Nothobranchius furzeri: one gene and its partner. The protein of the gene in region 1 purifies or fractionates together with the protein of each later gene. This does not show direct contact. Links are inferred from orthologs where the notes say so. Each region holds a gene or a part of one and is shown in the gene's direction. Other genes may lie near its edges.

Region 1 (2,725 bases):
AGGTTAGCCAACCTGAAATAAAAGAGCTGGGGGCCTCCGGGCTTGTTAAAGGTTTTTGTTTGGTTTGCTGTGTAATATGAGGCGGGCAGCACAAGGTCATGCTGATTGCCTCAGCTCTGGCTAAATCCTCCAGTATGAAAAGTCTGACTTTTAGAACTACATGGGTCATAACCTAAAGGAAGATGTATTTTCTTTTTTTTGTCTGCCAGCTCATTTAAAGCCTTAGCTTTGATCTATCGAGCTGTGTTTAGAGTAGCAAAACACTTCCTGTCCCCGTTTGAGTTTTGCACAACTGCAGTCATGTGGGGGAAACCCAGCGATTGTTTTCTGATTAAAATTGGGGCATTCAGGCTTCAGCCCTGTTGCCGGCGCAGTACAACTGACCTTTTGTGTATTTGTATTAAACTGATGTCAGATGATCAATATGTGCAACTCTGGTGCAGAGGAAACCAGAGCAGAGCTGCGGAAGCAGGTCTATGACTCGATGGCAGAAGAGGCAAATATGGAGGCAGTTGGCCTAAAGCTGGAGTCCAAAGACGTGACGAGCAGCAGCCAGGTGGAGGAAGAGGCTGGTTCTGATGAACACGGCCTGACTGGATCTGAAGAGCCTTCAGGCTCCAGTGAAAATGAGGCCAAGAGTTCAGTCCAGCCGGGCTCGGATGCTTCTGCACAGGATGTGGGTGAAGAGTCTGAAGGACCTAACGCCAGAGAAGACCAAACCGAACCAGAAAAGCAAAACGATGCGGTATCTGTGGAGATGAAAGATGAGGAGTCTGATCCGGAGGCTGAAGAAGACGAGGGTAGTAGATCTATGGATACAGAGCACAGGGGTGGATGGGTCGGGCTGAACACTGGTTAATGCAGGTCAGGCGGTGAAGTAAAGGGACACGCTGAAGCACTTGGGTGGATCTGTTTCCTAGTTTAAGCGTTCCCTTTATCCTATGTGTCCCAGAGTTAAAACCGTCTTTGTGTGTATTTTCAGATGATGATGATGATGACGACGAGGACGAAGAGGATGGAGAGAAAGCTGCTCAGGATGATGTCCGTTCCTCTGTGCTCCGTAGTGGTGGTTGGTTTGTTGTGTTGGTTGTAAACCTGGTCTTTACCCTGCAGGAGGAAGACGAGGTCGGGAACTTGCAGCTGGCGTGGGAGATGCTGGAGGTCGCCAAAGTCATCTTTAAACGGTGCGTGTTAATGCTGCGATGGATTTTAAAATTCCACGTGCAGCGTTTATTTGTCCTGCTCGCTAATCCTCTTCCCGTCTGCAGAAAGGAGAGCAAAGACGAGCAGCTGATGGCAGCCCAGGCTTATCTGAAACTTGGAGAAGTCAGCGCTGAATCCGGTGAGATTTGTAGTTCCAGAGCAGACTGTTTTTGGGTTTTAGTCCGGATCTGACCAGATTGTGTCCCCAGGGAACTATCCTCAGGCCCTAGTGGACTTCCAGGACTGTCTCGCCCTGCAGCTGACGCACTTGCCCCCCCACAGTCGCCTGCTGGCTGAGACCCACTACCATATCGCCACGACGTTTTGCTACATGGGCCACTACAGCCATGCCATTCAACACTACAACAGCTCCATAAAAGTCATAGAGACCCGTCTGGGTAGGACTCGCGCTTCCTCGTGAGGATTTCTATGATCAGAGCTCCTGTTTGAGGCCGTCCACGTTTCTTTGTGTGCAGCCATGTTGCAGGAGATCATTGACGCAGCAGAAGGAGCTGACGGTGCAACAGAAGAGAAGAAGGAGATGGAAGAGCTCAATCAGCTTCTACCGGACATCAGAGAGAGGGTGGTAGATGCCAAGGAGAGCATGAGAACAGCCAGCGCTGCCTCGCAGGCCATTCAGCAGACCCTAGTGAGTACAAACGGGTTAAAGCGGGGTTTGTCATGTAGCGGCGTGCCCTTCCTGTAGGAGCATGAGGGGTGGTCTGGCACGAGAGGCAGGAGAATCTGGGTAGCATCTTTTTGTGTGCTGGAACATTAAACCCCTCTGGTCACTAGGTGGCAGCAGCAAGGTCAGTCGCATTTATTTCTAAAGCACTTATTATTGCTTCTGCAACCCAAAGTGCTGTACAACACAAGATGAATCGCGAACAAGTATAACTAAAAACCATAAAAATCAGCAAGTTGAGATAAAAACAGCGTTGCATCAAAGAGAATGACGATTACAAAATAAACATCTTACATAAAAGCCGGGTTGAATAAATGAGTTTTAAGCAAGGACTTGAAGACATCCAGACTTTGTGAGGTCCTGATCTGCAGAGGAAGACCGTTCCAGAGTGGGACCGGCCACAGAAAAAGCCCCGTCTCCTCTCGTCTTTAGGCGAGCCGTTGGAACCGATGACTAAAACTGAGAGCCCGACGCAAATTCCTGGCAGGAGTGTAGGGTGACCATAAATCATCCGTATAAGGAGGGGCCAGACCATGAAGCGACCATTTAAACTGAATCCTGCAATGCACTGGCAGCCAGTGAAGGGAAGCAAGCACTGGAGAGATGTGATCGTGCTTCCTTGCATTTTGAACCAGTTGCAAGCAGTTTAAGGCGGAATGCCCTAATCCATAGTACAGGGAATTGCAGTAATCTAGTCGACAGGAGACGAAGGGATGAATAACATGTTCAAAGACCGTTTCCGGCAAATAGCACTTAAGCTTTGCAAGCTGCCTCAAGTGATGAAAACCAGACGGGACCACTGCACTTACCTGTCTGTCCAGTTTAAACGAAGCATCC
Region 2 (3,824 bases), on another chromosome or scaffold:
TCATCGACATTTCCTGCAGGTTAGCTAAACAATCCGCCTGCGCTCCGGACCGTTCTTCAGGACTTTAGGAAAGGGAATGATGTAGTGATGTGTTAGTCGCTAAAGACACGGCTCCCAGAGTCGGCTCTGTTGGGTTAACCAGAGTGAGTGACACACTCCGTACCTGCGGGCTCCTGAGCCGCTAAAAACTGCTAAATGTGCGCGTGCGGCGCGCTAAACACACGTGCAGGTTGCTCCTGATTGCTGTGAGACTGGGTTGGGGTGTGTGTGTGCAGCTGTGGTTGGGACAATTATTACATTAACTGATGGACTTGTAAATAAATAGTTTATAAATAAGGTAGAAATAGATAGAAATAAGTTCCTCACACTGATAACTAATCTCTCTGAGGACACGGTGCTAGTGCACGCTCCTACAGCACCTTGACACGACTAAATAAATGCTATGCAACATTTAGTGAACAGCAATTTGCATGTATTTGTTATAAATGCCACTGTATAATTCTTGCTGTCAGTATTTGCAAGATATTGGTATTTGGGTCTGTACTGGTTAGACTTAAATGAGTTAAACCAAGGTTTATAGCCCTTGGGTCATAGACTATGAGCTATAAGTATATTGGTCTTTTTATACTGGGAATCAGGAGTTATTTTAGTGACTGATTGTGCCCTGAGCAGTTTTATGACTGAATAAAAACAAATAAAATCAACATAAATTGAAAAATCATCTTAAATAATCGAGATCTCAATTTCAGTCACAACAATCGTGATTATTATTTTTGCCATAATCGAGCAGCCCTACCTAATACATAGGCATATAAAATGATGCTCTTAAAAAAAAGTTCAGCAAAGGACCCAGTCCATCGTTGACGGTCGATTAATTTGTCCACTCGCCCAGCATAAGAGTGTCTGTGTGACAGGTTGTAAATATGGTGGATGGCCTGTGTCTACACGAGCTCTGGCACTTCACTTGGTGCAAAGAAATCTCTTTTTTTCTTCAACTTGTCAGTTTTTGGTGTTGAAGAAACAAAACAGTTTTTTGGCTTGAAATTTTGCTCTCAAATAAGCTCATAATTCTGCTGGATGTAAACACAAATTAGCCAAACAAACGGTGTCTGGAAGCAAATCTACAGCGAATAAGATATTTACGACTATTATACTGAATTATTTTTCTAAATGTCCCTTAATTAGATTTAGAAAAAGGACATAAATACATCAACAAACAGCACTTTATTAAACATGAAAAGAGCCGCTCCTCTTCTTTGGGCAGCACAGCTTAGAGCCAACAATGAACCCGAAACGCAGTGTCAGTGTGCACCACTGCTCAGAGTTGACCGTTGACCCCATGAGTGTGGGTTCACCTTGTTAAGGGTTTGAGTGCAGCTGTCGGGCAGGCAGAGCGGCACAGTTCGGGCTTCGTCTGAAGAGCGTTTGTCTCTGAGTGCGTGTGGACGGTCGTGGTGCGGTGCAGCTGGCGAAGGGATGACGGGAGGCCGAGCTGGAGTTGATGCAGCTGCTACATTCATGCACGACGGCGACCAGAACTCACCTTCTCCTCTTTAAATTGGGCAAAAACACCACAATGCTGGACGTTTTCCAGAAAACCCAATTAGTTGATTGTTTTTAGTTTGTTTGAGCTACAAACTTGTAGTTTAATTCATCATTTTTGCACAGATTTAACCTGAAGAGTTTAAACTTACAAGCTCTAAGACGGCCCTTATAGTTGATTGAAGAGTTAAAAAAAACACAAATTAGACAACTAACAACTAATTAGATAGTTTATGCTTATTGTTGGAAAATCAAAGACATCAACTGACTGCTGCCAAGGAGCATTGTTGAGTTATATTCACGGCAAAGTGAAGCATCCATTCTGGAAGGCCATGCAATTCAGCATCTAGTATGCAGGAGAGTGGTTGGGACAAAGCGACTTGTTTGTCCATGGCCTTTTAAGTGTGGTCCTTGTTCTCCAGAAATGTGGCTGAACAATTACAATAGTTAAGAGGCATTCAGCTGCAGGTGCATTACTTCCAGTTAGATATTAGCTGATGTCTGAAAGGGGGGAATTAGCAGTATGTTGTATTAGCCTTTTGTAGTGCATTTTGCTCAGACCTTCTTCATTTCCCAGTTTTCAATGCGGAGCAGTGAGGGTCTCTGTGCTCCCATAATGCCCATCACACATGTAAATGGTGTGAAAGGGCTGCTTAGCAAAGTGTTCTCATGTCAATCCTTGTGGAAATGGATACAATGCAAACATTACAGCTGAACTAACCACACGTTCTACCGAGTAAAAAGTCCAGGGGAAGGGCCCCTTTGTCTCCGAGGCCCTTTGAAAAACGCGGGGGCCAGATTCATTTGATTGGGTTCACTTGGCAGGATTAGAGGAGAGGCCTCTTATTATGGATGCCCAAAGGTTTGTTAAGCTGAAATCAATTCATAAGATTTTTTTTTCTTCTCAGTGAGAAGCAGAAATGTGTTTATTGAGGCAACTTCATCACATATTCATGGTTCAATCTAAGTGGTAAATGTACAGATTTAAGTGGCCTTGTCGGGGTGGGGAGGTGCCGAGGACTTTGCTCAGCTGACAGTTTTAATTGCCTAATGGTTTTCTTTTCAGCGTCTCTAAAAACGTGTGCTTTGAGTTTTTTTTTGCCGCTTTGGCCAAACAAAAAACAGAAAGACTAAAATTTCCTGCTGGTGTTTTCAAGTTAATGAGTCCAGCTTTATTGTTTTCATCCAGCCGGATGATGTCGGAGGGAAAATCCGGGAAATAATCCCAGCTGGTTTCACCTCCAGCACGGATGACTTCATCTCGCTGTTGGAGAAGGAGGCCAAGTTCAAGCCCTTCGGCACCCTGCTTCACTCGTACACGATCCACAATGAGGAGGCCGGAGAACTCACCTACCAGATTCACAAGGTACGCGCAAACCACGCTCATAATCTCACCAACTCATCAGAGGAAGACGTAAACGGTTTTATTAAACTGGGCCCAGGCTGACATCACCTGCCCTGGATTCCAAGAGTACCACGAGCGCCTGCAGACCTTCCTCATGTGGTTCATCGAGACCGCCAGCTTCATCGACACAGACGACGATCGTTGGGACTACTTTCTCGTGTGAGTAGCCTCCTTAATTGACACTAACCCCCCAGCTTTACCCTTAAAGCCTTTTATTGTGTCATTGAAAAACAAAGCCCCCCTTTGAGGCGCTTGTGACCAATTACCAGGCCGGTTTGATTATATTTCCCCATGTAGGAGAATTGTTGATCAGGCAAGAGCTTTCTTTGTGCCCAGAGCCCCTTTCAGATTTTTCTGGGGCAAGAGTTGAATTGAATACTGTTGTCTTTTGAAACACTGAACAATGTCCTAACAGTAAAAAGAGCCTCTGCCAGTGTTTTCTTTACCCTGGCACTTATTAATAGTCACAATAGGCAAAATGGACTGAAGTGATGTTGAGGAGCTCAAACCCTCCTCCAAGCCCTTCTCTTCCTCTAAGTTGCAGTACTCCAATTAAGTGCATAATGTATTCATGTTGTAGCAGGTGTACCAATCGGGCCCTGGCTGCTCCTGACGAGGGGGGCACGAGAACAGAGAAGCTAAAACGGACACTGCATGGGAGTGTGCCTGTAATTGACCTGTTTGCCTTTGTGTTTCATCTGCAGATTTGAAAAGTACAATAAAGACGGGGAGACTCTCTACGCAACTGTTGGCTACATGACCGTTTATAATTACTACGTGTACCCAGACAAAACCAGACCACGTGTAAGGTAATTGCTGGGGCAGCACGTGCCTTCCCATTCTTTTGTATAAGAAAAGGAGTGGAAAATTATACATT

The links.
Region 2: the proteins of nasp (region 1) and hat1 purify together in Homo sapiens (affinity purification with mass spectrometry; 3 studies listed by BioGRID and IntAct, with this or other methods). This does not show direct contact. The link is inferred for Nothobranchius furzeri from reciprocal best matches to the Homo sapiens genes NASP and HAT1.

Annotation. Positions count from the first base shown.
Region 1 is NC_091748.1:71,312,288-71,315,012, forward strand, and holds part of nasp (nuclear autoantigenic sperm protein), read left to right. Parts: intron 1-443; coding exon 444-800; intron 801-982; coding exon 983-1,041; intron 1,042-1,113; coding exon 1,114-1,184; intron 1,185-1,268; coding exon 1,269-1,342; intron 1,343-1,412; coding exon 1,413-1,601; intron 1,602-1,679; coding exon 1,680-1,852; intron 1,853-2,725. UniProt on the Homo sapiens protein: Component of the histone chaperone network. Binds and stabilizes histone H3-H4 not bound to chromatin to maintain a soluble reservoir and modulate degradation by chaperone-mediated autophagy.
Region 2 is NC_091754.1:20,781,643-20,785,466, forward strand, and holds part of hat1 (histone acetyltransferase type B catalytic subunit), read left to right. Parts: intron 1-2,731; coding exon 2,732-2,908; intron 2,909-2,984; coding exon 2,985-3,106; intron 3,107-3,651; coding exon 3,652-3,756; intron 3,757-3,824. UniProt on the Homo sapiens protein: Histone acetyltransferase that plays a role in different biological processes including cell cycle progression, glucose metabolism, histone production or DNA damage repair. Coordinates histone production and acetylation via H4 promoter binding.